Struthio camelus: one gene and its partners. The protein of the gene in region 1 interacts with the protein of each later gene in a pairwise test. Links are inferred from orthologs where the notes say so. Each region holds a gene or a part of one and is shown in the gene's direction. Other genes may lie near its edges. The genes, in order: DRAP1, NFYB, GTF2B and POLE3.

What was found.
Region 2: the proteins of DRAP1 (region 1) and NFYB interact in binary tests that used the Homo sapiens proteins (3 or more experiments, as listed by UniProt). The two-hybrid records come from large-scale screens. The link is inferred for Struthio camelus from reciprocal best matches to the Homo sapiens genes DRAP1 and NFYB.
Region 3: the proteins of DRAP1 (region 1) and GTF2B interact in binary tests that used the Homo sapiens proteins (3 or more experiments, as listed by UniProt). The two-hybrid records come from large-scale screens. The link is inferred for Struthio camelus from reciprocal best matches to the Homo sapiens genes DRAP1 and GTF2B.
Region 4: the proteins of DRAP1 (region 1) and POLE3 interact in binary tests that used the Homo sapiens proteins (3 or more experiments, as listed by UniProt). The two-hybrid records come from large-scale screens. The link is inferred for Struthio camelus from reciprocal best matches to the Homo sapiens genes DRAP1 and POLE3.

Annotation. Positions count from the first base shown.
Region 1 is NC_090976.1:890,977-898,573, reverse strand, and holds the start of DRAP1 (dr1-associated corepressor), read left to right. Parts: upstream 1-4,591; 5' UTR 4,592-4,690; coding exon 4,691-4,732; intron 4,733-6,430; coding exon 6,431-6,503; intron 6,504-7,341; coding exon 7,342-7,435; intron 7,436-7,597. Other genes in the region: RELA (transcription factor p65), read left to right, coding at 1,765-1,833, 2,503-3,113. UniProt on the Homo sapiens protein: The association of the DR1/DRAP1 heterodimer with TBP results in a functional repression of both activated and basal transcription of class II genes.
Region 2 is NC_090942.1:62,634,715-62,642,579, forward strand, and holds the start of NFYB (nuclear transcription factor Y subunit beta), read left to right. Parts: upstream 1-4,865; 5' UTR 4,866-5,024; intron 5,025-7,865. Other genes in the region: TXNRD1 (thioredoxin reductase 1, cytoplasmic), read right to left, coding at 4,644-4,725. UniProt on the Homo sapiens protein: Component of the sequence-specific heterotrimeric transcription factor (NF-Y) which specifically recognizes a 5'-CCAAT-3' box motif found in the promoters of its target genes.
Region 3 is NC_090949.1:19,993,589-20,000,594, forward strand, and holds the start of GTF2B (transcription initiation factor IIB), read left to right. Parts: upstream 1-3,992; 5' UTR 3,993-4,250; coding exon of another isoform or gene 4,251-4,280; intron 4,281-5,963; 5' UTR 5,964-6,098; coding exon 6,099-6,146; intron 6,147-6,469; coding exon 6,470-6,573; intron 6,574-7,006. Other genes in the region: KYAT3 (kynurenine--oxoglutarate transaminase 3), read left to right, coding at 1-104, 1,092-1,165, 1,607-1,693, 3,166-3,228. UniProt on the Homo sapiens protein: General transcription factor that plays a role in transcription initiation by RNA polymerase II (Pol II). Involved in the pre-initiation complex (PIC) formation and Pol II recruitment at promoter DNA.
Region 4 is NC_090961.1:12,219,799-12,227,352, reverse strand, and holds the start of POLE3 (DNA polymerase epsilon subunit 3), read left to right. Parts: upstream 1-4,554; 5' UTR 4,555-4,748; exon of another isoform or gene 4,749-4,806; intron 4,807-4,904; 5' UTR 4,905-4,914; coding exon 4,915-4,980; intron 4,981-5,961; coding exon 5,962-6,047; intron 6,048-6,742; coding exon 6,743-6,861; intron 6,862-7,353; coding exon 7,354-7,514; 3' UTR 7,515-7,554. Other genes in the region: C20H9orf43 (uncharacterized protein C9orf43 homolog), read right to left, coding at 886-1,045, 2,195-2,354. UniProt on the Homo sapiens protein: Accessory component of the DNA polymerase epsilon complex. Participates in DNA repair and in chromosomal DNA replication.

The DNA of each region.
Region 1 (7,597 bases):
TTGGGGTCCCCAGGGGGGTATTTGGGGTCCCGGGGGGGTCCCTGGGGTCCCCGGGGGGCTATTGGGGGATTTGGGGTCCCGAGGGGGGGTATGTGGGGTCCCTGGGGGGAAGTTGGGTCCCCAGGGGGGTATTTGGGGTCCCGGGGGGGGGGGATGCGGGGTCCCCGGGGGGGTATTTGGGGTCTGGGGGAGGATGTGGGGGGAGGCGGGGTCCCCAGGGGGGTATTTGGGGTCTGGGGGGGGGATGTGGGGGGATGCGGGGTCCCCAGGGGGGTATTTGGGGTCTGGGGGGGGATGTGGGGGGAGGCGGGGTCCCCAGGGGGGTATTTGGGGTCCCGGGGGGGGATGCGGAGTCCCTGGGAGGGTATTTGGGGTCTGGGGGGGGATGTGGGGGGATGTGGGGTCCCCAGGGGGGTATTTGAGGTCCAGGGGGGGATGTGGGGGGATGCGGGGTCCCTGGAGGGGTATTTGGGGTCTGGAGGGGGAATGTGGGGGGATGCGGGGTCCCCAGGGGGGTATTTGGGGTCCCGGGGGGGGATGTGGGGGGATGCGGGGTCCCCAGGGGGGTATTTGGGGTCTGGAGGGGGGATGTGGGGGGATGCAGGGTCCCCAGGGGGGTATTTGGGGTCTGGAGGGGGGATGTGGGGGGATGCAGGGTCCCCGGAGGGGTATTTGGGGTCTGGAGGGGGGATGTGGGGGGATGCGGGGTCCCCAGGGGGGTATTTGGGGTCCCGGGGGGGGATGTGGGGGGATGCGGGGTCCCCAGGGGGGTATTTGGGGTCTGGGGGGGGATGTGGGGGATGCGGGGTCCCCAGGGGGGTATTTGGGGTCCCGGGGGGGGATGTGGGGGGATGCGGGGTCCCCAGGGGGGTATTTGGGGTCTGGAGGGGGGATGTGGGGGGATGCAGGGTCCCCAGGGGGGTATTTGGGGTCTGGAGGGGGGATGTGGGGGGATGCAGGGTCCCCGGAGGGGTATTTGGGGTCTGGAGGGGGGATGTGGGGGGATGCGGGGTCCCCAGGGGGGTATTTGGGGTCCCGGGGGGGGATGTGGGGGGATGCGGGGTCCCCAGGGGGGTATTTGGGGTCTGGGGGGGGATGTGGGGGGATGCGGGGTCCCCAGGGGGGTATTTGGGGTCCCGGGGGGGGATGTGGGGGGATGCGGGGTCCCCGGGGGGTATTTGGGGTCCCGGGGGGGGGATGTGGGGGGATGCGGGGTCCCCAGGGGGGTATTTGGGGTCTGGAGGGGGGATGTGGGGGGATGCGGGGTCCCCAGGGGGGTATTTGGGGTCCCGGGGGGGGATGTGGGGGGATGCGGGGTCCCCAGGGGGGTATTTGGGGTCCCGGGGGGGGGGATGTGGGGGGATGCGGGGTCCCCAGGGGGGTATTTGGGGTCCCGGGGGGGGATGTGGGGGGATGCGGGGTCCCCAGGGGGGTATTTGGGGTCTGGGGGGGATGTGGGGGGATGCGGGGTCCCCAGGGGGGTATTTGGGGTCCCGGGGGGGGGGATGTGGGGGGATGCGGGGTCCCTGGGGGGGATATTTGGGGTCCAGGGGAGGGATGTGGGGGGATGCGGGGTCTCTGGGGGGGGATGTGGGGGGATGCGGGGTCCCCAGGGGGGTATTTGGGGTCTGGGGGGGGGATGTGGGGGGATGCGGGGTCCCCAGGGGGATATTTGGGGTCCTGGGGGGGGATGTGGGGTCCCCGGAGGGGTATTTGGGGTCCGGGGGGGATGCGGGGGTGCCGACGTCGTTGCCCCCCCCCCAGGCCCGGCGCCCTCCGAGCCGCGGCCCCCCCGGCGCATGGCGGTGCCCACCCGGCCCCGGCCCGGCCTCGGTGAGCCTGCGGGGGGCAAACAGGGGGGCTGGGGGGGGAAATTGGGGGTCTGGGGGGGCAAACAGGGGGCTGGGGGAGGAAAAGGGGGGTCTGGGGGCAAATTGGGTCTAGGGGCAAAGAGGGGTCTTGGGGGGTAAATTGAGGGGTCTGGGAGGGCAAAGTGGGGGTCTAGGAGGAAAGGGGGGTCTGGGGGCAAATTGGGTGGTCTGGGGGGGTAAGTTGGGGGGTCTGGGGGGTCAAAGTGGGGGGTCTGGGAGGAAAAGGGGGGTCTGGGGGCAAATTGGGGGGTCTGGGGGGGTCAAAGTGGGGGGTCTGGTAGGGCAAAGGGCGGTCTAGAGAGCAAATTGGGGGTCTGGGGGGGTCAAAGTGGGGGGTCTGGGAGGAAAAGGGGGGTCTGGGGGCAAATTGGGGGGTCTAGGGGGGCAAAGTGGGGGTCTGGGAGGAAAAGGGGGGTCTGGGGGGTAAATTGGGGGTCTGGGGGGTAAATTGGGGGGTCTGGTAGGGCAAAGGGCGGTCTAGAGAGCAAATTGGGGGTCTGGGGGGGTCAAAGTGGGGGGTCTGGGAGGAGTAAATCGCGGGGGGGGGTAAACCGGGGGGGGGGCAACCAGGAGCAGGGGCAAATTTTGGGGGGGTGTTGGGGGGGGTGTCATTGCTGCCCCCCCCCCCCAGCTCTGCTGCCCCCGCCGGCCCCGGCGGCGCCCCCCGTGGCCCCGGCTTTCGCTTTCGGGGTCCCCCCGGCCCCGGCGACGGTGACGGCGGCGGGCGGCCCGGCCGTTTTGGGGGGGAAAGGGGCGCTTTTGGGGGCGCCGGAGGCCGAGCACCTGTCGGAGGCGCTGCTGCAGCTGCAGTTCGAGGACGGCGGGGGGGGCGGTGGCGGCGGCGGCGGCGGCCCCCCCCCCGCCCTCGACCTGCCCCCCTCGCCCCTGGATTTGGGGGCGCTGCTGGCCGACGGCCCCTTCCCGGCCCTCGACACCATCAACGCCGCCGACTTCCAGCGCCTGCTGGCGGCCCCCGCCGACCCCCCGCCTCCCCCGCCGGGCCCCGACTTTGGCGGCGGTTTCGGGGCGCCCCCCGGCGCCGGCGGTTTCGAGGCGCCCCCCACGCTGCTGGCTTACCCCGAGGCTATCGCCCGCCTGGTGCAGGGTCAGCGCCCCCCCCTCGCCGACCCCGCCGAACCCCCCCGGCCCCCCGGCAGCCCGCCGGCGCCCCCCGACGAGCCCCTGCCCTCCCTGGGCGACCTCGACTTCACCGCCTTCCTCAGCCAGTTCCCCTCTTCCTAGGGGCCGCCGGGCGACTGGGAGCCACTGGGGGGCACTGGGAGAGACTTGGGGAGCACTAGGGGCCACTGGGAGCGACTGGGGGGGCGCTGGGAGTGACTTGGGGGGCACTGGGAGCGACTTGGGGGGGCACTGGGAGCGACTGGGGGGCTCTGGGAGCGACTTGGGGGGGCACTGGGAGCGACTGGGGGGAACTGGGAGCGACTGAGGGGGCGCTGGGAGCCACTGGGGAGCACTGGGAGCGACTGGGGGGGCGCTGGGAGCCACTGGGGAGCACTGGGAGTGAGTTGGGGGCCACTGGGGAGCACTGGGGGCGACTTGTGGGGGCGCTGGGAGCGACTGGGGAGCACTGGGAGGCTACTGGGAGCCCCTGTAGAGGCAACGGGGAGCCCCTGGGTGGCGCTAGGAGGCTACTGGGAGCTACTGGGGACACTGGGAGCCGCACAGGGGCCATGGGCTGATCCCCCCCCCAAAGTGGACCGGCCCATTGGGGTGCTATGGGGTGGAGGGGGAGTGGGCTGAACCATTGGGGGCTCATGGGGGGGGAGGGGGTGGGCCGAGCCAATAATCTTACGGGGTGGATCAGCCCATTGGGGTCCCTATGGGGGGAGGTGGGCTGTACCATTGGGTCCATATGGGGGGACGGATCAACCCATTGGGGTCTTTATGGGGGGGGGGTGGACTGAACCTCTGGGGTCCCTATGGACTGAACCATTAGGGTCTTATGGGGGGGTGGATCAGCCCACTGGGGTCTGTATAGGGGGTGGACTGAACCATTGGGGTTTCTATGGGGGGGGGGCCAGGGGCTGTACTAGTAGGGTCCACATGGGGGGGATGGACTGAACCAATGGGGCCTCTATGGGGGGGAATGGGCTGTACCATTAGGGTCCATATGGGGGGGATAGACTGAACCAATGGGGCCTCTATGGGGGGGAATGGGCTGTACCATTAGGGTCCATATGGGGGGTGGGCTGTACCATTACGGTCCATATGGGGGGGTGGGCTGTACCATTGGGGTGTTATGGGGGGGAGGGCAGATCAGCCCGTTGGGGCCTTATTGAGGAGGAAGGGCTGAACCATTGGGGTCCCGGGGGAGGGGGAGGAACACCCCCCTCCCATCCCACCTCTCTCCCCCACCCCCGCTTTGGCTCCACCCCCTCCGGGGCCAGCCAGCCAATGGGAGGCGGCTCCTCCCCCCCCACCGCAGTGCCTTAACCGGGGCGTCCGCGCGCCCTCCCCCCCCCCCAACCCGTTTTTTTTTTTTTGTAGAGCCAGTTTGAACCTTCCTCAATAAAACGCTCAAACGCGCCCGCCCGGACGCCTGGGTCCCTTCCGGGTGGGGGCGGGGGCGGGGGGGAACCCGGAAGCGGCGGCGGCAGGAAAGCCGGAAGCGGCTGGGAGGGGCGGAGGGGGCGGGGCGGAGGGGGTTGATTGACAGCGGGAGGAGGGGGCGGGCGGTGGCGCGGGGCGGAAGGGGCGGGGCCGCGGGGCGGAAGGGGCGGGGCCGCGGGGCGGAAGTGAGGGGGTCGAGGCCGCAGCGGAGGCAGCGGCAGCGCCGGGGAGCGGGAGCCGCCGGGGCGATGCCGAGCAAGAAGAAGAAGTATAACGCGCGGTTCCCGCCGGTGAGGGGCGGCCGGGCCTTCACTGCCGCCGGGGGGGGGTCTCCATGGCAACCGATGGGGGGCGTGGCCGGGCCTTCACTGCCGCCGGGGGGGGCGGGTCTCCATGGAAACCGATGGGGGGCGTGGCCGGGCCTTCACTGCCGCCGGGGGGGGGGGCGGTGGGTCTCCATGGCAACCGATGGGGGGCGTGGCCGGGCCTTCACTGCCGCCGGGGGGGGCGGTGGGTCTCCATGGAAACCGATGGGGGGCGTGGTCGGGCCTTCACTGCCGCCGGGGGGGGGCGGGTCTCCATGGAAACCGATGGAGGCGTGGCCGGGCCTTCACTGCTGCCGGGGGGGGGGGTGTCTCCCTGACAACGGATGGGGAGGCGTGGCCGGGCCTTCACTGCCGCCGGGGGAGGGGGGGCGGCGGGTCTCCATGGAAACCGATGGGGGGCGTGGCCGGGCCTTCACTGCCGCCGGGGGGGGCGGGTCTCCCTGACAACGGATGGGGAGGCGTGGCCGGGCCTTCACTGCCGCCGGGGTGGGGGGGGCCCGCCGGGTGTCCATGGCAACCGATGAGGGGGCGTGACCGGGCCTTCACCGCTGCCGGGGAGTGGGGGGCGCCGGGTCTCCGTGGCAACCGATGAGGGGGCGTGGCCGGGCTTTCAGTGCCGCGGGGCGGAGCCGCCGGGTCTCCGTGGCAACCGGGGGGGGCGTGGCCAGGCCTTCACTGCCGCGGGGGGGGCGGGTCTTCATGGCAACCGATGGGGGCGTGGCTAGGCCTTCACTGCCGCCGGGTGGAGCCGCCGGGTCTCCGTGGCAACCAAGGGGGGCGTGGCCGGGCCTTCACTGCTGCTGGGGGGGGCAGGTCTCCATGGCAACGGATGGTGGCGTGGCTGGGCATTCACTGCCGCGGGGGGGGGGGGCGCGCTAGGTCTCCATGGCTACCGATGGGGGCGTGGCCAGGCCTTCACTGCTGCTGGGCGGAGCCGCCGGGTCTCCGTGGCAACCGATGGGGGCGTGGCCAGGCCTTCACTGCCGCCGGGCGGAGCCGCCGGGTCTCCGTGGCAACCAAGGGGGGCGTGGCCAGGCCTTCGCCGCCGGGTCTCCATGGCAACCGAAGGGGGGTGCGGCTGAGGCTTCACTCCGCCGGGGAGGGGGGCGGGTCTCCTTGGCAACCGCGGGGGGGGCGTGGCCGGACCTTCGCTTCCGCCTGGGGGGGAGGTGGTGCCGAGTCTCCATGGCAACCGCTGGAAGGGGGCGGGCCTTCACTGCTGCCGGGTCTCCATGGCAACCGCCGGGGGGGGGTCACCTGCTTCCTATGTCTGTGGATCCCGGCTGCCCTCAGGGGCAGGGAGGGGGGCGTGGCGCGGAGGAAGGGGGCGTGGCGCGGAGGAAGGGGGCGTGGCCTGCCCTCGGGGTCATCCGAGAGGGCTCGCCGGGGGCGGGGCCAGGTCATTCGCTCCACCCCCGCGGCTGCTTTGAAAGGCTACTGAGGGGGCGGGGCCTCGAGGCGGCTTGGGGGCGGGGCCAGGCGGCAGGGGCGGGGCCAGGCCACTTTCCTTGCTCCCTTCCCTGGGGCTGGTTTAAAAGGCTGGTGGGGGGGCGGGGCCTGGGGGGTTTGGGGGCGGGGCCTGGGGGGTTTGGGGGCGGGGCCTGGGGGGTTTTGGGGCGGGGCCTGGTGGTCGGGGGCGGGGCCTGAGGGTGCGGCCCGCAGGCACGCATCAAGAAGATCATGCAGACGGACGAGGAGATCGGGAAGGTGGCGGCCGCCGTCCCCGTCATCATCTGTATCCTGCCCGGACGCCTGGGCCCCCGGTGGGGGGGGGGGGCGGTCCCGGACACCTGGGTCCCCTCTGCTGGGAGGTGATGGGTGCCACGGGGAGGGGCTGGGTGCCCTGGGGGGGGGGTCGTGGGGTCCTGGGTGCCCCATGGAGGGGGTTTTGGGGGGTTCTCGGTGCCCCATGGGGGGGTGAGGGGTGTCGTGAGCCTTTGGGGGGGAGGGTCAGGGGGTCCTGGGTGCCCCATAGGGGGGGTTGGGGGGTTCTAGGTGCTCCCTGGGGGGGTGAGGGGGGTCCTGAGTCTCTGGGGGGGGGGGTTGGGGGGTCCTGGGTGCCCCCTGGGGGGGTGAGGGGGGTCCTGAGCCTCTGGGGGGGGGTTGGGGGGTCCTGGGTGCCCCATGGGGGGGTGAGGGGGGTCCTGAGCCTCTGGGGGGGTGTTGGGGGGTCCTGGGTGCCCCATGGGGGGGGGTTGGGGGGTTCTCGGTGCCCCCTGGGGGGGTGAGGGGGGTCCTGAGCCTCTGGGGGGGGGTTGGGGGGTCCTGGGTGCCCCATGGGGGGGGTTGGGGGGTTCTCGGTGCCCCCTGGGGGGGTGAGGGAGGTCCGGGGGGGGTCAGGGGGTCCTGGGTGCCCCCTGGGGGGGTGTCCTGAGCCTTTGGGGGGGGTCGGGGGGTCCTGGGTGACCCCCAGGGGGATGAGGAGGGGTGCGGGGGGTCCCGGGTGCCCCCCGGTGGGGTGAGGGGGGGTGCGGGGGGTCCCGGGTGCCCCGCGGGGGGTGCGGGGGGGTCGGGGGGTCCCGGGTGCCCCGCGGGGGGTGCGGCGCGGGCCGGCCGGGTCCTTAGCGGGGCAGCGCGGGCGCTGGAGCTCTTCCTGGAGTCGCTGCTGCGGCAGGCCTGCCGCGTCACCCGCGCCCGCAACGCCAAGACCATGAGCACCGGGCACCTGTGAGCCCCCCGGACGCCGGGGCCCCTCGGGGGGGTGGGGGCGGGAGACCCCCGCCCGGACGCCTGGGTCCTGCTGGGGGAGGGGGCTGGGAGACCTCCCTCCGGACGCCTGGGCCCCGCTGTGGGGGGGGGAGCTGGGAGACCCCCGCCCCGGACGCCTGG
Region 2 (7,865 bases), on another chromosome or scaffold:
CGGATATGCTGCTACTGTGCCATTTGTTAGTCCCTACTGCCGCTGGCCATGCCTTTATTGTCTCTGCCACAATTAAAGCCACTTATTCATTCCCACGCATCTCTTTGCAACGAGGGTTTCGTTTTAGGCACATAGAACATCAAAAAACACAGGAAAGTCTCTCGCACAAAATCAGGTTTTTGCCAAACAAATCAGTATTAAAAGTGAACACGGTTAAAATAAAACAAGCTTTTTGCAAGTGATCTCCTGGAATCTGCAAAAACTTTAAGGCAGGCACCGCATGTGAAAGGTAGCTGGGTGCTTGGCTTGGAAGCTTCTGATTTTTTCAAGCAGGGCTTTTTAAAGAGGGGGAAAAAAGCACTGATTTTAATCCAGAGTAATCAAAGTTTATTGGCCTTGGAAAACAAAAGGACTGGGGTGGAACAATTTAATCCTCTTCGCAGCAACCCAGCAAACAATGACACTGCGTTTCTATGAGCTGAGGGAAGTAGGGTAACCTAACAGATCATGACCCTCAGAACTTCCTTGCCGCATAACTAATACAACAAACCAAACTGATGCATACGGATCCTGACAAAGGCCTAACTGGAAACGATTGTAAAAGATGGGCAGGAAACAGTAAATGCATTACACTTTTGTGAGCCAGAAATACAGAAATCTGTTTGCTTTGTGTAAGGTTGTGCAAACAGTGCGGGAGTTAAGGAAGTTAAGAGCTTCCTTACTGTCATACTGGGAACGCACTGCCAGAATACACAAGAGGTGACAGCGCAAAATCATGCTTTCCTCTCCGAGTATGTGAGCGAACAAGTAAAACTGGTGAGTTTGCTACAGCAGAAGATTATGGAAGATGCCTCAGTTCGCTTCTGAAAGCCGGAGCAGGTTCTTAAAGAACAGTTTAGTACTAGACTAGAATAAGCTAATACTATTTTCTAGCTCAAAGTAGTAGCATCAACGGAAGAAACGGACATGTGGCATCACAAGAGACACGAAAATCTTATCTGTGATACTATTTTATGATTCTAACAGTGGGAGATATGAATGCAAAGGGAGGAAGTAAAGATAGCAGGCAAATGAAAGTGCTGGGTCAGACAGCATTGTGACAGCCAACATTAATGGGGGCCAATGACTTCTGGTGAGACAAACCACCTGACTACGGGCACACGCAGCTCCCTCACAGGGAGACACACAGTTCCGTCGGCTTACCAAAAACGAGACTGACCACGTTATCAATGGTACAAGGCATAGGTAATTCATATAGGAGGACAACATGCTAAAGAAAGCAACAGCTGTGAGCTTCTTAGAAGAAAAAACACAAGGTAAAACTAAGTTGAGGATCAGCAAAAAGACAGAGAGTGTCAGACATTGCTTGATAAGTTAAAGGATGGCTCTGTGAGGAAGATATACACTGTGACACCAAGAGGAGTATCATGGTTAACAATTGCTGATAACGCAGAAATGGAACATACAGTAAGTATTCAAAGACACGATACATGCATTCAGAATGAGGAAAATCATCCCAGTATCTCCAAAGAAGCCTTGAATATAGAGCAACTGTTACACCGGACTGCAGAAAAAAAAGGGGGGAAGGGGCAGTACTGTACGTTGTGGGGGATAAGCACTGCCCCTATTCATGGCCAAAGTCAAGGGGATGGCATAACTGTAAACAAGGGCAGAAGAAAAAACAAGGTGGGCAACCATGACTCCACCTCCAGGAGGGTCAAGTCTGCTCTATGCTACAGAGTGCTATGACACATTTGTTATCGTTATACCTGAGCCATTCACATGCAAATTACATGGGCAAAACATTTGCAGGAAATACTACAAAATAAATAAAAGCATGTAAGGCCTCATAACGCACACTTTCACCACACGAAAATGTCAATACAACTTGGTCACCACCAATGGTAGTACTTCAGCACAGAACCAGGACCACCAAACTGGATCCCCCATTATAGTTACGCTGGATTCTCACATTAGCACCAAAAAAACCCAACAGTAATGACTTTAAAAATATTTGGTTAATTCGTTTTGTAGACTCCAACCCACATCTCATTCCAAGTCTATTAGAACTTTCTAGGTCCATCGGTATGCGCCAGGTCCTGAGTGCCCAGTCCCAAACAGAGATGAGCAACCTTAACTCACATCAAAGTCAAATGGAAACACAGCAGCTCATAAAATTCGTCTAGCATGAGGATCTGGGGAAAAAAAGGGGCACTGGAGGTGATACCAGGATAGAGCGCTGCAGAACAAACAATACGTTTTATATGGCAAGAGCTGCAACTCAGGCAACCTTAATTCTAAGATGTTTACACTTACTGTGTAGCCCTGACTTCTTTTCATGAGTCCTTTTTTTCACAATAAAATGCATGTGTATCAATACAGAAAACTAAAATAATGCAGAGATACATTAATAAAATTCAGGAAAACGATCATCTTTGAGCTGTTTCCAATTTTCATACCTTTACACCTACAAAACGCGTCATAAATACTGCATATTCACAATATTTTTGGTGAAGTAAACCAAATACTATTTGAAGATTGTAAGAGAACCTTTATAAAAGTACAAACTAAGGTAAAATGTCTTCAATAGTTGTGGTATACAGAATATATATAAGCATTATATCTTAAAAATCAGTAATTTTTTCCTGTGCTAGCCATCATTTTCCTTGCTGGTTTTGCTCACTGCCAGTGTTTGCTTTATTAGACATCCTTTTGGCTCTTTAAGTGAATTAATAATTATGACTTTGTAATAAAATTTATTATTCCCATTGAAAAAAAGATGGAAGGGCGGGAATAGATCCAAAAAGGAACTGAGAAATTCTGAAAGCCATGAACCACCCAATTTCTTCCTCCTCCTAGTAAAAGAACACAGAGAAGTTTAAATACGCCTTGTCTGAGGGATGCATGTGAGATAAAAGTAGAAAAACTGCTCACCGCTATGATTAGCTATAGAAAGGGATTAATTTAAGATTGTCCGTGTTTTAGAGTCAGCTAAACAATGAGTAATTAGCTTATTTGAATTCTGTTTCAGTTTTCAAACAAATTATGTATCTCTATTTGCATTCCTACAATTATTTGCTGTTAATGTTCTGTTTGACCTCTTCCAACACCACCCACAACTCCTCTCATCTCTTGTTCTTGAAGGACATAAGAAAAATTGACTTGTTCCTTTAAGAAACAGATGCCAGGTTTGAGATATTAATCCACTTGTACATGACCATTCCAGGAGTGAAGCTGCCTAGATGCCGCAATATAAGGCTTGGCATCATAGTTTAAACCAGCTTTAGTGGAGGTTTAAACTAAGACACTGCCAGGGTTTTCGAATAAGCAGCAGGGAGTAGTAGTGTCTTAAATTGAGAAATCAAGATGTAGCAGATCATGTAGACTGAAGCCCAAACAACATGTCCTTTGAAGTCACGTTACCCTCAGTGAGTCAGCTTCCCAAGGCTGAAAAAGCTCATTAAGATGCTGGCTTCACTTCTGAGTTTGTCAGTGGGTACACTGTCATCAGAGGGAACTACAGGTTTGGGTACTGCACTGGGTAACTACACTGCCGTTTATCCTGCCCCAAACTCCACGCTACCGCACCTACGTTGCTTTCAGTATCTGACTTAAAGCTAAATCAGGTACTACTGATTAGGTTACTACTCTTAATAGTAACCTAGTAGTTGGCAACATTAGGTAAGGGAACATTCCCTAGTTGGTCCGAGGGAGCTGCCTTACCCTTCAAGTACGCGGGCAACTGGACTCTCTTGAGAGTGTATGCTTGGGCAGTTTGATAGGCTTTTCTTTCTCTTTTTTCTTTTAAGTCTTCCACAGTTAGGGTAAAAGGATATGCAGTGCTTCCAATGCCATGCCCTTAACTCAGATTGTGGGATTTTGTGCTTACACAGCTAGAAAAAGGTACTAAGCAATATGCAGCCACAACAATAAGTGTATTTCATGAGCTCTAACTGGCGGGAGCCTCATTTTTTGTATTTGCCATCCACTGCTGTGCTCCTGTCTTATGCAAACTCTTACTACACAGGCATCTTTATTCTTTGTTTGCGAAGACACTGTGACAATTTCCTTCTACATACTACACCTGTAAAATGTTACATACTATCTTAAAACGGCCAAGGTGTTTTAGTTTCGGGAATTCTCTACTATGTATATTAAAAACACCTATGAACACACGTACCCCTTTCCCAAGCGTTAGAAATTGTCCATAATCTTCAAATAGGCAGAGTTGAAAGCGTTCTTTCAGCAGTAGGCGCCCAGTGAAATACTATGTGCTAAAAGCGCTTTTTCATTAGGGCAGGGGCGCACGCCCAGTTACGTCTGCGGCCCTTCGTTACCTCACTCACGCTCGTCACTTCTCCGTATCGCCAGGTCCTTAGGGAGCCAGCCAGAGCAACAGTTAAACCCCACATCCCAAGAGCGCCCGCCGTGACTCTGAACGGGTACAAAACGGCCAGGTGAAAGACAGATTCCCCACCGCTGTCGCGACAGCCTCTCAGCCGGGCAGAAATCACCTCCACGGGGGAGAGGGCTGTTCCGCTCCCCCCCCCCCAACTCCGAGCCGTTTCGGCGGCCCGGGCAGCAGCCGCGGCACAGACCCTCGCTCTCTTTGCGCCGGCGGGCGGGCGGGCGGGTTTGCCTACCTGTTGGGCGCCGCCACCGCCGCTCCGGGCGGCCGCCGGGCGCCTGCCGCACCGCTTTGCTCTTCTGCAGGGCGCTCCCCATTGCGCGGCGCGGCGCAGCCCCGGGCGGCGCCCCCTGGCGGCTCTCAGCACCCCCTCCACTCCCCCCGCAGCGGCGGCGGGCGCGGGGCCGCGCTCAACGGTGGCCGTTGGGGCGCGGCCGTTGGGGCGCGGCCGGGCGGCGCGAGGCGGCGTCTCGCTGTAACGGTCGCGGCGGGGAGGGGAAGTCGGGTGAGGAGGGGTGGGGGGGCGCGCCCCCCCCCTTCCATCTTACGTGAGGCAGGTCGGCGCCCGGGGAGATGTCTGCCAGGGGCCAGCTGTTGCGCCAAGAGTCGCCTAACGGTAAAATACTGCCCGAAATCAGTCTGTTTTCTTGTGTGTTTTTTTTGTTTTGGGTGGTTTTTGTTTGTTTTTGTTGTTGTTTGTTGTTGTTGCTGTTGTTTTTTCCCCCGGCGTGATGCCGTGCGGGGCTGCTGGCGCTGAGCCGCAGCTCGGCCTGGCTGAGGTCAAGGGACCGTCCATACAGCCAACGCGACTGTGGCGGCGGCAGGGACGCTGGCGAGGGAAAAGAGCAGCCAAAAGGCGTTTTAGAAATGTTTACCTCGCAGTGAACGGTTCCCACTTAGAAATCGTATAAGGGAGGAGACGCTCTAACTGAAAGATTCACTACCTCGTGCAGAAAGCCTAATTAGGCTTATCGCATTGCTCCCTTCTGGGCTCTGGATATTATTTGTAATGATTTTCGTACAGCACTGCCTCGGTTAGGGGCCCATTGTGGCCGCTATCATACAAAATAAGTGGCAAGAGAAGTGCCTGCCCTGAAGAATTTCTGGCATAAACAAAGAAGAAGGGTAAAACAAGAGCCTACAACCCTATAAACCATCAACAAGCAGCACACAAATACCTGCTGTTACTGTCAGCTGAAATTCTGAACTTTCTTGTCTTTTCATGTGGAAGCGTGTGACTAGTTACCAAATAAGGCAACTTATCTAATCAGTATTCTTGCTTACGGCAAATGTTGGTGTTTGTTTGAAAGGTTTAGAAAAGATGCCAAACCAGCTCTTAATGTTCTGGTGGACGAATCTTCTTTTCAGTTGCACAGATTGACTACTGGGCTGTATCCTGACTGACTAAGGAGGATGCTGTCCGTGGAAGGGAACAACACCTAATGCTAAAGCACTACAACAAAATGCCTGCTACAGACTCCGACTCAGGAGCTCTTAGTCCAATTTGTAACATGACTGCAAGGTGCCCTGAGCAAGCGAGCTACTCATGCCCTCTAAGTGTCCCTCGATGTGAAATGTAAATATTGCAGAGATTTAGCTTATAGCCCCCTCAGAGTTGTGATTATCTGACTAATGCTTGTAGTAGAGGACCCCAAACCACTTAAGCTCTCAGCGCTTTGCCATAATAGCAATAATGTGTGAAAGGGAAGAAAGAAAACAGGATAATAACTGGGTCTTTGAGTGTAAGAGGCATTGCCACCCAGTCCTTGATTTTTTTTTCACAGAGGACTTAAGCAACTCACATTTTTGATGCTGTGCTACGATTCCACTCTGCAGTGATCTCTCCAGTGCCAGCTGAAGTTTCTAGCACAAAGAATGATTATTTAATTTAAGATTAGAAATGGAAAAAAGTCTCTGAACTTGCCATGGGAATGATCACTGAGATTTTAGAAATGATATTTTCAATATAGATATTATAGATAATCTGTAATAGCAAGAATTATGATGATAATGAAGCTAATAATTGTTACAGGTGTTCAGGGATTATTATAGCTTCAGAATTAAAGTTATTAAAATCATTCTCAGCACAAGCTGAGAGAAGGAACCAAACCCCATCTCCATATTTGCATCAAATGGGGACCATCAGCTGGCAACTCAGACAGTTTGAAAAAACAAGTTTAAAAAACAGCTTGCAGTACCGCTGCTGTCCTTGATACTGTTTGCAATGTCTGGTTTAGCTTTTTGTTTTGCAGTTATGTTCTAATCACGTTTCCTCCCATTAGGAAAAGAAAAAAGATCTCGTGTTGTTGTGGTGAAGTTCCATTGAAGCAATAGAAAAAAATTGTCCCCCAAAAAGTCCAACAGTTAAGATGTTATCAAGTCTGAGTGCCCAAACAAGTGAATCCAAAAATCAGAATTATCCAAAATCATTTGCAAATTTTAAGTATAGTAATTCAAAGGCTCTGTCACTATAGAACAAAATCTTGATGCTGCACCCGAAGACTAGTATGTAGTTTTCGCCTTCCTCACCCCACTCTTCTAAATCCATTTCTTCTTCCTACAGTTCTACTGGCCCGTCTTACCTCTTACCTTATTTATTACAACCTCCTCACTAAGATCATCTTCGGACCATTTGAAGTACAGCCTGGGAGCTTTTGTGTTCCTTAACTATTATTTGGATCAGACCATTCCTGATTTTGCCATCTTAAAAGATAACTCCTTTTTTAGTCTTTCCTCAGGCTTCCTACTCTCTCCTGAATCACAAGTTATGATCAACCCCAAGGTTCTATAAAACTTTCGTTTTTGCTGATCTACAGTTACTATTTTGCCCTGTCATCTATTCTTCGCTCAGATCTACTTCTTTACTCTGTTAGTTTGCTTCTCCATAGACGTCTTTCGTTTCTCCTACAATGTTGCCCATGTTAAATCTTTTTTTTTTTCTAAGCAGAGCGAAAAAGTATCTACCCTCTTTTTCTTTAAATTTCTCCTAGAAATTAAACTTTGTACGGGGCTTATGTAAAGCCAAATACATCTGTTTATCTTATAATTTATTCTTAGCTGACTGAACTGCACCCATACGTGAGGTCCAATGTTGGGCCATTGAAATGTAAGGGGAATGTGACAAGAAGAAGAATGAGAAGTGGAAGGAGGAAGATGGAAGCAAAATGCAGTATATTCCAGTTACTACTGCAATGATTTCTTGATGCTTTGGTTATAGCCTTGGTTATATGTTAAATCCTTTTTCCTCCTTCTTTGCCCATCTCTCTCTTTTTAGATTCTTTGGGAGGAGGGACTTTTATCTTCCACTGTGCTTGGAAAATGCCTAGCACGTTTTGAGTCCCACTGCTAGCCTACGCATAAATAATCGGCATGATGTCCTTTTCCAATAGCAAGAACACACAAAGGAGAGCAGTCTTCAGGATTATAAAAGTTCAAGGACACCCTGGATCCTGTAATA
Region 3 (7,006 bases), on another chromosome or scaffold:
GGAAGGCAAGCGTGATCGGATGGCTCAGCTACTTCGAGAAGTTGGACTGAAGCCTGTCATTCCAGATGGAGGATACTTTATGATTGTTGATGTTTCTACATTAAGTTAGTAAAAGGTTTAGTAAATGGGGGATGGGAAACAAATATTAAGATGAAAATGCAACTCCCATTTTAAACTATGTTCTCATTTCATTTTCTCATAACATTGTCAGAAGTACTAATTGGGACTGAAATTTTCTGTTTGACCTTAGCCTGGAGGTAAATTTTACAAGCTTCAGCAAAACCTTGCAAAGTTTTTGCAAGGTTTCAGGGATGTGCAAATAGGAAAAGTAAAGGAAACAGTAAAAACATTTCTATTTTTGAAAGGTCTTTGATTATGGAAACATTTGCGAGCCAAGTACCTGGCTTAATATCCTGCGTTTGTACCCATTTTCTATTTTTTTTTTTTTCTCCCCTTAAGCTGCAGTCAAATGCTGAGCTATCTTTAACGCATTCTGATTTTTAAACATTGTCAAATCTCACCAACATTTACAGATCTCTCTGGAAATTCAGGCTATGCTACCTCTGGAGGAAGAATTCCATCAGGGTTGTGGATTTTTGTTGGATATCTTTCACTGACTGGTTTTAATGGCACTTGTCATTCACACAGAAACGTTTAAGCAAAGCTGAGCCTCACAGTCCTACCAGGATGTCGGAAAATTATAGATACCCTAGTTTTACAGATAAGAGAACTGCAGCAGTAGCAGTGATTATTGCTGTCCATGTTGTGCAAAAAGGACACACTTCAGTACTCTCCAGACTCCAGGGCCCTTAGTCATCCAGACTTGATGACTTCTTGGGGGATTGCATCGTTCTCTCCCAAGCTACTTCTCTGATTTTGCTTTGCATGGAAAGCGAGTGCTCAGGTCAGAGTGGAAAGATGTACATCTGTTGGCCTGGTTTAATCTTTATAACTTTTTTTAATTATATTTTATAATAAAAGCATACCTCTTTATTCTTAAGTATTAACTGAAGTGCTGTTAGTGAATGCCTTGCCACTGGAGGCTAGGAAGTCTTACAAGATCTTGTTTGTTCTCTGTTTAATTTTTTTAGATGTAGATCTCTCTGATGTGGAGGAGAATCAACCTTATGATTATAAATTTGTCAAATGGATGATAGCATCTAAGGTAAGGTGTCTTTGTCATACTCTGAAGTTTTAGAAATGCTTGTCTACTGGAAGCAAGAGAAGTGTAACTGTACTTATGCAATAATGGAGTAGAAATACTACGTTCAAAATATTATTTGTTATTTATGCTAACTGCTGGAAATGATGTGACTAAAATATTGCTGAATGTACTGAAAATGTACTCTGTAGGTTTGTGTTAAGTCTCAACTTTTGTTCTTTCTGCACGCTTAAATGCTAGTTGTAGACAAGTACCTTTGAACTGTTTTGCCTAAAAAAAGTGATTTGAACTTAGTTAAGCGTAGCTTTGCGTGCAAGATCCAGCCTAGTATTTCACTTGAATGTTGGGAGGGAGAGTTCTAGGAAATTCGATAGTAAAATCGTCATGTGTGAAACTGGTTTTTCATCTGTGTATAATAAATAATATTTCCGTTTTATGCTTCAGAAACTTTCAGCAATTCCTCTTTCAGCATTCTGTGGTCCTCAGACAAAAGTGCAGTTTGAAAAATACATACGTTTTTGCTTCATTAAGGTAAACTTGTGTCCCAGGAAGATTCAAAAAATAAAAATCAATGAATATAAAAATCTGCAACAGGCTACTTATAACATTTTTTTCACAGGATCTCCTGAGTTTTGTGATTTTAGCAGCAGAAAGTTAGCTTGATGTAAAATTAAACACAAAGTAGCTTCAGCTATCTTTTTGCTGAGGGGCTTTAAGTCCTAAATGCGAGTGGCATGGTTAAGAAGGGCAGGTCGAAGAAAACAGCTGGGTGGGTAAGCTTTTTTTTAGCTTATTCTGTTGATTTTTAAAACATTCTTGGCCAGTGGTGACAATGAGAGTGGATGACACAGATATCTCATGCTATCTATTAAGATGAATTCTATAATCCATGGTAAGGAATAATTCCTTTCTATGGCAGACAGGGATACACCATGTGCAGTCAGTTTCAAACAACAAAACAAATCATTAAATAGGTGAGCTTCAAGTTTAGCTCACTTACCTGAACGTACATACAGTTTTAAATGAGCTCCAAATCACAAAGAAAAACAAAGACATAAAAAGGAATCTTCAGTGTTTTTTAAAGGAGGCAGAATTGACAAATTGTAAACTGGCAGACTCTTGTAATTTTGTGAGCACCTCCTCTTCCCATATTCTTCTTCCTCCTGTTACACCCACTTGCTGGGTCTGTTTTTGAAAATACTGAAAAACGTTGGAGGCAGCTACATAAACTTTGGTAGACATACTTCCCTAAAATCTTAGTCTTACTGTTCTGTCATAGAATCGGCATAATGGCACATATGCCAACCCCTTAACTGTTCCATGTACAGATCAGAGCCTTAGCTTGAACCACTGATGAAAGGGAGTTTCTGCTTGTGTTACTTAGTTCTTAAGATGAGGTATAAAGACTATGATATAAACTGAGCCACTAACAACCAGGATGAAACTTGCTCGTTGTGAACGTGGCTTGCTCAGGATGAAGAACGCTAATTGTGCCAAGGTAAAGGCTACTCGTGTGACTAACCGGCTGTAGCCAAGCCACAGAACTGGCCAGTGGATGGATTACCCATATTTAGAGGGATTATGTTTAAGTAGTTCACAGCATAGCTTGGTTGCATGGAAATTTAAAAATCCTAATTGTAAAGATTAGCAAACTATGACTAGCATGCTTCTAATATAGAGCGGTCAAGAACATTAATGCATAAATGCCAGGCATTTATGTAAAAAGTATCCACTTTCATTAAATTTGATAATGTAAATATTGAGAAAAATATGCTCTATTTTTAGCAAATACACCTGAAAAATATTTGCAGGGTATTAACATTGAATTCTTGGTGTTGTCTAGATTTGTAGCTATAAATGTTAATGGAGAACTGACTGTTTGGGATATTTACATGATGCGAACGAAACTGCCAAATATTGATTTCAGATGTTATAATTATGACTGCTACTCTGTTTTCAAGAACTCTTTACTTACAGTAATAGTAGTACTCCTTGTTTTGCAGAAAGACAGCACACTAGATGCAGCTGAAGTCATCCTGAAGAACTGGAATAAAAAGATAGCTTGATTTTTTTTTTTTTTTTTAATCAACTCTTCTGTCTGGTATAATCTTACACTAGGACTTTTTCTTGCAAATTTAAGAACAAATTACTTAGTACAGAATTAATTTGACATTGTAAATAACTTTGTGCTGCCACCTGCTGAGGAGTTAAAACAATGATTTACTCAATGCGTGTAATGCAATTCAGAGCTTATTTTCAGAGGTCTTTTCAAAATGATTGACCTTTTTCCAAAATAATCTACAGGCTCCACCTCTCTCACTGAAAAACAAAGATTTCTGGTACTCTGAGTAAAATGAATACATCATATAGGTATTTTAAGACTTACAAGGAAAAAATGGGAGGTGTTTTTGGTGTGAAGTCGTATAGAAACTAGGGGTAAGACTTAAAACATTGTGGTTTGTGAGACCTAATAGCCAGCAGTGGAGGAGAATTAAGACGTGCCTCAGATTAGATAATTGCAGTGACTTTCTACCTACCTACCTACCTACTCTGTCCATGCATGAATTGTATCAGTTAAATAAAGTGATTGAGTTAAATCAACGCAGTGTTTATATATAGGCAAGTTCTAAATGTGCTGAGCTGCATAATTAGTATTTTATTTTCCCACATTAGTCAAGTTTACTGTTCTGAAGGCATTCGTTCCCCCCCCCCCCCAAAAAAATTTTAAAAGTGGCATCTAGAATACCTATAATATTTATTAAATAGATGAATCTACAAAGCAGAATAAAACACCTTGCCTTAGAGGCTCCTTCACAATCAAACGTACAGTGACATACGTAATCCTGTAATTCCTTTTCCACTTTTTGCATGTTCACAACAACCGTTAGTAACTTCACACCAAACTTACTTCAGTGCTTATTTTCATGCTTGGGGAAGCATGGAGATGGGCCAAATACTGTACTATGGAGCTCAGCTAACTAGGACTATTTCAAGCTTGATGGATAAGGGAGTGTTTCAGAAGAGATCAATGTGGAGAAATCCTTTCTAGTTGCTTCCTCTTTGAGCTGTGTGACCTTTTCATCTCTGGATGGGTTTCCCACTAGCAGAAGCAATCAAGGTAGGTCGCCTTTTAAGGATGTATGTTGTATTCTGTGTTTTTTCATTCTTCCCACAGGCCTTCTGGGGAAAAGTTGGAACAAATTCAATACCTAGTTTTGCAACTGCCTTGCTCATTCTGTAGTCATATAGCTGGAGTCTAATTGAGTTCTATCAGTCTGTGATCGTGGCCAGGGGCTAAAAAAAGTTGTATGGAAACTGGACTGTGATAGCAGCTGTTACGCCTCTGCTGACTAAACATGTCAGTACCTCTTCTTGCCCTTGGACTTCTGGGAGTCCAGTAGCTGGGACTTGTGTTGTCTGTTTAGCTGTCATACACTGCCATCCCCCAAACCTTAACAGAAAAAGGTTGCTTGGTATTTTTCAGGGGTTTGTAGTCTTTGTGTAAAATATCCATTTGGTAATTAAAATGACTTAACTTAAATTCCAGCAGGAATGTCATAGGGAAATTCTTAAATAAATTCCCATAAATTCCAGGAGGAACTATTGTTATAAAACAGTAAAATTCAGTGAAATCTACACTGTATTTTGCACGACCTTTAAAATCTCTTTGTGTAAAGTGCACCGGGGAGTTGTGCTGTTGCAGGAACTAGAGGACACTGTGTCAGTTCGTTGAGCTGAGTGATAATCTGGGCAAGGGAAATGCTTCTGTTGGTGATATGTAAAACAACTGGTTTATTTGGAAATTACTCCACAAATATTCCATTCCAAAAGCCATTTGGAGTAGAATGTCACACTAAGGCACCTGCCACTTTCATTGCAAAGTGAATTCTCATAAAATAAAAAAATCTTTGCTAACATATGTTCAGATATGATAATATGAATCAAAATTTCCTAATGACTTAGCCTCTTAAATAGTACAAAATAATAAAATATTTGTTATTTAGCTTCCTGTCCTTGAAACAAGTGCCTTGCAATGCAATTCAACATTCAACATATAATTTCAACAAAATTCAACATATAATTTTCATCATCATTTTATATGTCAAAAGGGAGTTTTAAATATCGTTGTACCATGCTTGCCTTGATAACAGCTACAAAGCACAATCCACTTAATATTTTTAAAAATTATTATTTAAAATTATTATTTCTGCAGTTTAAGATTTCCCTGAGATAGCGTGTTAGCATGTGAGCATATGTGTAATTGTGTTATGGGTCCTCACAACAGCAGTGAAGTGATAAAAGTTGCTTCCATTCACCTCTCTCTACAGTGTTTTTGTTGCCTTGTAAAGAAGTATCATTGCTTCCTAAAGACTTGTTTCAACACTGACTACTGTTAATACCATGGCTTGTGTTACTGTTGCATTACTGTCATTGGCAAATGGGACACCCTGTGTAAAGTCGGTCTTTGTATGAATATATGCAAGAAAGAAAAGCTATAGGCAAGGTTGCCAAGGAAATTATAAAAATTATAGCAAAATATACCTGTTTTTCCATTGTTACATTCAGTAACAGTAGCATTTTAAATACCTCATTCTTGCATGCTAATAACTCACGTGCTAAAGCACTGAATCTGACAGGGGAGACACAGGGGGCCCAGGTTTAAAGATAGCTCTGCATAGTGTATAATTCCAGAGCCCTGCTGATGTTACGGGACACACTGTATTAGACTTCACTTAGCTTTGATTTCTTTTTGCCTATTTTGTCCAGCTGCTGTAGTGTGCTAATCCTTTTGTTTCATCAGATGTCTGAATACATAAGATGCAGCACAGAGATGAATTAACATACCAAGCATAATTCAGCTGCCTTGGCTATTTATTGTTTCTTTCATTTGCTCCTTTGAGGCGTTTGACTGACATCTGCTATTTTAACAAAATGAATGTTGGCTAAATCAACAAACCATTACAAAGGATCTTTATACATACGAGTAAGAATTGATGACTTGTTTTCATTAGTGTACTCCTCATTGTGTTCATGAAGACATCTGAATATCCCATTGCATTATATTGTTGGAATGATGCTGGTAATATTCATAATGTGAGAACTGCAATTGAACTATCTATTTATCACTGACAGTAGCCAGCATGAGATATTTTGGATGAAATTGTAAAAAGCTCCAGAATGAGCAATTAAAAAATAAGTTTTAAAGTGGGGTTATTGTTGTAACTGTAGTGATGGGAAAGAACAAGTACAGCTAGGCACAGCAAGGTGAACTTTCTGTAAGTTATTAAAATGATGTGTTGTTGACAGAGACGGTTAATAGTGGTATTCCCATCTGCTACATCAACCACTTTTTGGCTGCTTGTGGACAAAGAACTTGGGAAAAATTGCTACAGACAGAGAATAAAGAAATGGTGAGATATGATCTATCATACTTTTTCCAACAGTGCTGAAAATGATTGTCTTTCTGTGCTGGAAATTAAACCCTTTCACTTCTAGTTAATGAGAACAGCGTCGGAAGGGACCGACTGCTGACAGTGATTGTCAGCAGATGATCTGTTTTATAGAATAGATTATATGAGAAGCCAAGACAAACGTGGAAAGCTTCATGGGACTGACAGTGCTGATGTGGCACATCTGTTGCAGATACTGCTACGCACACATTTCAGAGGTTATAGGGAAACTTCTTAATATAGCAAGCTGTATTCACATTGATAGTAACAATTTTTTTTTATTAGCATTTTATCTTTTGGTTTTATTGAGCCTTGTGAAAAAGGGCATTGCAAATGGAAAAAGAGAAGCTTCATCTTCTAATAGTTCAGCTTCCTTTTATTCCAAAAGCAAAGA
Region 4 (7,554 bases), on another chromosome or scaffold:
AAGTATAAAGAATAAAGCTCGTTTTCTTTAAAAACAGGATACCGTCGAGAGTTTAAAATTCTTATTCTATAATGAAAAAGAAAAGAATGCAGACCAGCAAGGGCCAGTCTATGACAAATTTAAACTAGTAAAAGTAAGTACTGTAACAACATCCCATGCCATGGAAGCCACTCGGATCCGAGCTGTGTGTTCAGCTTCCAGAGCAGCTGGTCCCTTCCTGTTTTGTTACAGACATGGAGCTAATGGGACACACACTTAACTCTGGCCTTGAGCACTTTACTGTCCCCTCTGACTCATGCTCTGTGATAACTTACTCTGTGAATAGCTCCACAGCAGTTTAGGGTGGATCCAGTTAGTACTAATGAGGGGAAAGAGGTGTGAATTGACTCACCAGCCTACAGGGGTTATGAACATACTCAACCATTTGCCGATTCTATACCACCATATGGGCATACACATTTAATTAGGACTTGTGTTTCTTCAAGAATTTTATTGCACCGATCTTAATAGGGCTTCAGTACCAACAGAGACTATATATGCACTCCACAGTGACTACTATACAGAAATAATCTGTACTTCAAATTTTTTATTTATTTGGTCTTAATGATACAGAAGCATCGTTTTCAAGGAAATAAACTTAAGCAAGACTCAACCATTACTGCTAACAGTGTATTCTACACAGTACAAACAACATTTTGTAAGCTGTGTCCACTACAGCTGAACCTAATGTTTCTGTGAGCTCTTTGAGGAAAAAAACACAAAAAAACCCCAAAAAACAAAAAAAACCCAAAAACAAAAAAAAAAAACAAAAAAACAAGCTATCACCTTCATGCCTGCCCTTACTGCAGGCTTAAAACTCACAGATGGATGTTCAGAGCCATTCACCTGACAGCACTATCTTCCTCCGAACTCTCTTGAAGCACAGAATTTAGAAGAGAGGGTGCAGCAGAGATGGAGAAAGTTCTGTGACACTTGGAACATTGGACGCATCTTCTCAAAGACTTGCTGGGGGGGATATTTACTATTTTCAGCGTTGGAAATTCATCTAAGAAAAGTAAAGCAAATGCAAGGTGAACATCAAGGATCTGATAAGTAAAAACTGCGTGCAGTGTTTAATAACTGTTTACTGCCACTGAAGACACAACAGCTCCATTGGTGTATTAGCCCCATTTATAGTAGCCAGAATTTCTAGCTAAGGAAACAATAATTCACCTTATAGCAACCGTGATTCTTGGAGAAGTTCTCTACGTGCAGATCATACTCCTAGGGCCCAAAGTGCCAAAAATGCAAGAAATCACCACCTTCTACACCACAGCATTTTCTGAGCCGTGCATGAGCCCTGCAGAGCCTCAACCCGCCATTCTAAGGGCAAGAAGGTTAGTGCAGTATCAACCACCAGTCACCTCCTTTGCTGCTCAGAGTCTCCATTAAAGGACTCTGTGAAGCTACAGAAGAGAAGGGCACTTTGTCAGACTGCTCTGTACAGTGTATCTCGAGGAATTACAGTAACATAAGTATAACAACTCTTTCTTCTTAATTATCTGTCCATAGCGACCCCATTCTTGCTGGTAGGCAGCAGAAACCCCCTTAAGAAGATGACAGCAAGTTTTGTCAAACACTGATGAATCACTTGGGTAAACAGGAGATCAGACCCACAGGCAAACACTAGGAAGTAGTGATCAAAGAGTGTACACAGGGAGCTCCAAGCAGCTGATATGCAAACCTCATTTACAAAGACTTTCCTGAAGCGTGTTAGAGGACCTAGGGTGGAATTGGAATGAAACCTGCTACTAGCTTATGGACATATACTTAAGGAAAAATGCATGTTGAAGACTGAGTACCTAAATTTAACAAGAAACCATTGAAACAAGCTGCCAAGGAAAGTAACTCTGGCTTTCTTGATATCAGCTAATCAAGGTTAGTTACCTTAGGGAAGAGATGCTTTATTTGAACAAGCTATTGAGATAAATCCTGAAGGGCATGAATACATTATACAGGTCGGACTAGGCAATCTAATGTTTGCTTCCAGCTTTAAAAATCCAAAAATCTGTGAACAGTCTTCAACTTCACTAGCTACCTCATGTGAAAACTGAAAATTTCCTTGACTTCACTAGGATTTCAAGTTAGTTATCTCAAATGCAAGAATGCTCTTTTCCCTTCTTCTGTGAAGATAATAATTTAACCAAAACTTTACCTTTGCTTTCCAAAAACGTTCTAGAAATTGAATCAGAATTTCTTAAACGGATCCGAGGATGTCCCTCTTCAATCCTCCTTAGTGTATCCCAGCATTGTGGATGCTGACAAATAACCTTATCACAAATAGTTTCGTCCCACTGGCTTACATCTGCAGTCATCCTTTTTGCAACCGCTCCAGTATGAAGGGAGAGTGGTAAGATGGTATCATCGATTTAAATACTCTGCAAAACAGAAAATTAGTGCATATTAATTTAGCAGAAGAAAACAAACCTGAATACATATACAGTATAACGTTAAAAATAACCACATTGCAGGGTGGGGATCAAATCACAGGCTGCCCTCAGGCACATCCATCCTAGGTCATGACAAGCTGACAACCTGCCATTGTACCCTGTCACTCCAGAGCTTTGATATCATAGTTCCTTTCTAGTCTCATCTAGCTGTAACATGCAAAGCATGTAACATGTAAAATGTGACCTGCAGTAGTAAACTTCACTGTTACAAGTCACATTTTACACTGGTACAATAATTTCTCCTTGTGGCTTTGGAATATCTACAGTGACATAAGAGCAGTGGTTTGGCTATGCTAGCCAGTGCGGAAAAGCAAAAAAGCGGGAGACAATATCACCATTACATGCCTCAAAGAAAACGCAGGTTAATTATTACTTTAATAGATACAGCGTCGACCCTCTAGACGTTGTAGTTAAAAACAAGCACACCTTTTTATCTCAGTTATTTCACTGGTGACCAAAGCATCCAAGAAAGAAGAGAGTCCATCATGTCAGAAAGATATACGCCTCTTCATGATGAGAAGCATCTAGAAGAGGTTCATGAGAGCAGCAGCTTTGGGCTGTACCTCTGTCTGGCCTTGGGCCAGCACCATTTCTGTTTCTACGCCAGTCCACCCCCCTCACCAGAAAACAACATAACTGTGTCTTGCTTTCTTCTCAAATTAGAAAAGGTGTGTACAAAAGACAACCTCGCCTCTGGCGAAATAAAAAACAAAACAAGCCACAATGGCTTCTAATGACTCTTCTAACAACAGCGAGCAGCCAGCCAACTCAGAAGTCTGTATTAGCACCATCTATTACACTTACAAACGGACCAGTTACAGTCTCTCATTACTTTCATTAGAAACTAATCCAACACCTGCTACAGCATCTTGTCTCTGCGTGCCATAAAGCATCCATACAGTTAACAGTAGAATACATTAAAAGGTGCTAAAAATGAGATTCAAGAGACATGATTTGTACATACAGGTGATAGCTTTTATTAATCCAACCAGTACAACTGGAAACGTAATCACGTCCTCAGGCAAACAAGCCTTTCTTCAGGTCTGACCTTTCTACACCGAAGATGTTGCGTACTATTCCCAGAATACCATCAGGTGTAAAATAAGCTCCAATCTTTACATATAAATTGGTCACGTAAACATCCACAAGCTACTGTTGGAAAACGTACACTTTGCATGGAGAAAAGATGCATTGACCATTAACACTCCCAATTTCAAAAATGACCTCTGACACCACACCAGATTAATCCACTGCCTTCTAACACTCTGAGTTTACTTCAATTACCTTGTCAGGCTATCAAAAGCGATAAAACCTGATGAAATCAACTGAAGAGAAATTGAGGCGCGGCGTTACGCGTCGGGGGCCGGGGTCCGCGGGGAAGCGACACCTTCGCCGAAGGCACGCTCGGCACGGCCTGGCGCCCCAAGGCCCAGGCTGCCCACGAGGCCCCGCGCCGCAGCCACATCCCCGCGCCAGCGCAGCGCTCAAGCGCGCGCCCCAGGCTCGCCGCCAGGGCTGGCGAGGCGAAGGCCCCCAGGGCGAGCCACGGCCGGGCGAGGAGGCCCCCGCGCGGATGCCATGCAGCCCAAGGCGTGCCCTCACGAGGCCGGAAACCGGTGGGCGGGCCGGGCACCTGCCTCACGGGCTCCCCCCAGGCTCTCGCCCCCCTGCGCCTGATCCCTCACCAACCCCCCAGGCTCCCACGACCTGCCCCAGGCCCTGCTCCCTGCCCTGAGCTCCCACAAACTGCCCCTGTCCGCAGCCCCCGAGTCCCACGACCTGCCCCCGGCCCTGCTCCCTCACCTCAGGCTCCCACAAACTGCCCCTGTCCCCCCACCCTGGAGCCCCATGAACTGCCCCCATCACCCACCGCCCTCCAACTCCTCCTGCCCCGCTCTCACTCCCGCCATCCCCACCCCGCAGGCGCCCCGCCCTGCCTCCTTAGCCCCGCCCACGGCAGCCCGGGCCCCGCCCACCACGCCCGGGCCCGCCCCGGGCCCCTCGAGCCCCGCCCCCTGGACGCACCCCCTCTCCGCCCCCCCTTGGCCCCGCCCCCCTACGCCGCGCGCCGCGTGCCCGTGCCCGCCGGTGCCGCCAGGCTCCCGCGCCCCCGGGCCTGAGTCGCCGCCGGCGGCGGCAGCCCGTCTCCTCGTTACCGGGCGGGCGCTGCCTACCGGCCAACGGCCGCGCTCGGGGCGCGCGGCGGCGGCCGCGGGGCAGGCCGGGAAGGGGCGCGCTGCACGCTGGGAGGGGTCAGAGGTGAGAGGGCAGCGGCTGGGCGCGCGGTTCGGTGCGGCGGCCGCCGGCACGCGGCGAGGTACCGCGGGCGCCGGGCCGGGCCGGGCCGCACCTCCCCCCCCGCCCTCCCCCGGCACCGGGCGGCCCCGGCGAGTGACGCTCCCGTTTGCCTTGCAGGTGGCGCAGGATGGCGGAGAGACCCGAGGACCTGAACCTGCCCAACGCCGTCATCACCCGCATCATCAAGGAGGCGGTGGGCGCGGCGGCGCGGGCCGGGCCGGGCCGGGCCGGGGAGGCGGCAGGGCTCGGCAGCGGGGCCCCGGCCTCGGGGCGCTTCCTGGCGAGCCGGGGGGCCTCCGCTCACCGCGGAGCTCGGGGCCCGCGTTCCGCCGCCCCAGGGCGAGGGCAGCGCCGGTTCCCGGGCCGCGTCCCCTCGGCGGTCCGGCGGCGGGGCAGTCGGCCGTCGGCGGCCCCGGCGAGCGAGGGACGGGGGTGGGTGGGTGCCAGCAGACAGACTCCTCCGGAGCAGCCCCCCGCGGCAGTTTCTTTATTCCACGTCTTTGCTGCCCTCTCGAATTCCCCAAACGTGCCCGGGTGCCGGGAACAGCTTGTCCGGGGAGAGCGGTGGGCGCAGCCTCCCGTGCCGTCACGCGTGTTGTGCACCTGTGAGGAAACCTGTGAGGAAAAGATCGGCCCCCAGCCCAGTTTTCCAGGTGTCAGGAGTAACGATCCAGACTCTGAAATCCTACGGTAGAGGCAGGAGCGATGGGGCAGTGAGAACCCTGTCTTCCTAAACCAGCTCCCAGAACAAAATCAGAGCAGAAACAGATGAGGGCTCAAGTGCAATTTCTTTTCTGTGTAGAAGCCTAGAGTAAGTCTTAGTTATTAAGTTAATGATATGATGATCTTAAGCTATGAGGCGTCAATGCATGAGTTTGGATATTGCTGGATGATTGTTCTGCATCAAGAATTTGATAGTGATCAGATGAATCGCCACTGAGATGATGGCCAGACCCACTGCTGATGCAGAATTTACTTTCCTTTTATGTAGCTTAGATCATCGTTAACTTTCAGCTACTATCAAACTTTCTGTAATAACATCTGAGATAAATAAATCTTTCCACGTTTGCAGTCATGCTGAGCTCTCTGAAAGCTTTAGCTGAGCTGACACGTGAATTATGCAGTCTTGAGCCATTTATAGCAGCTACTGATAAAACTCGAATTTGCTTTTCAGCTTCCTGATGGAGTAAATATTTCTAAAGAAGCTCGGAGCGCAATATCTCGAGCGGCAAGTGTGTTTGTGCTCTATGCAACATCATGGTAAGAAGTGGTTGGATCAGATCACCAGTGCAGTTGATTTATAACTAGCCTCTCTGTTGGCTCTCCTGGAAATGATTTTTTCAATGCGCTAGTGAAGTGTTGACTGTTTATATGAATAAAACAATCTTCAGCCTAGCCCAGTCCATCAGATTGCAGCAGTCAGATTTGGACTGTCCTGTACAAACTGAGGGAAGACAGATATGACTCTGTAGACGAAGGTGTCTTCCTACCCCGTGAGGAATAAGAGCGGCCCCCACACTGTCCTCTGGCCTTGGAGCATGGCTGTATGGTATTTCCAGGCAAATGCGAAAGACCTTTGCTCACTTTCCAGGCTCTCCACGTAGCTGCGTTAGGACTAAGCCTGAGACAACCATAGGCTGCCTTGGAGCTGATCCCAGAGGATACAGTAACCTCTTTTGGGTGGCTGGGTATATGGCCATGTGTATATGCTCAGAATATGCTGTGCAGACAGTCACTGCTCTGGTTTTAAGTACTCACCCAGATTATGGAAACATGAACAGTCAATGTAAACAAGAAAATATCTTTATTACAGTAAATCAGCTATAGTATGTGGTAAGAACAACTGAATGTTTAGGAGATCACTTTTGGGGGCGGAGGGGGGGAAGTTGTTTGTGACCTTAAGAAGCAAGAATAAATTGATAGTTATTATCTCTGTTCTCCTTGTTTTTGACTAGTGCAAATAACTTTGCAATGAAAGGGAAGAGGAAAACACTGAATGCTGGTGATGTTCTCTCTGCCATGGAGGAAATGGAGTTTCAGCGATTTGTAGCCCCTTTAAAAGAATCACTGGAAGGTACTGGTCTCAGTTCATGTCAAGGGAGTCTAAGTAGCACCAAGTCCTACTTTCCTAGAAGGTTCGACAAGCAACGCTTATTTCCCTGTCTTGTTTCTCTTTTCTTTGCCCAGCATCCTACACTGCAGTTTGCCTGGGGAATAAATAATGTGCACCTTAACAGGACTGGGATAACATTATTTCACAACTGATGAGGATTGGGAAAGTCTCATCTGATATCATTCCCCTATTATGTTTGTCTAAGGAAAGTCTTAGGTGCTGCCTGTAAATGGGAACTCCTGCGTCCTTTTCAGCATATTTCTGCTGAACAGCACTTAACCTGATTTCCTATGGAGCTGCTCAGCACAGCTCAAATAATAGGGTGAGTTGCTGCTCTGAATTCACTGCTCCTGTTGTAACCCTGGAGAGCAAGTGGGCATTGGACTTCAGCTGCTCTACTATTCATACAGTGGATAGCCTGCAAATTTTCAGTGTTTTTTTTTTTTTTTTTAGTTTACAGACGTGAACAGAAAGGAAAGAAAGAAGCAAGAAAAGATAAAGACAAGAAGGCAGACTCAGAAGAGCAAGATAAGAGCCGAGAGGAAGAGAATGATGACGACGACGAAAGAATGGAGGAAGAAGAGCAAAATGAGGAGGAAGAGGTGGACAACTAAGCTTTCTGATGAGACGTGTGCGGGAGTTGGGCTCTGTTCG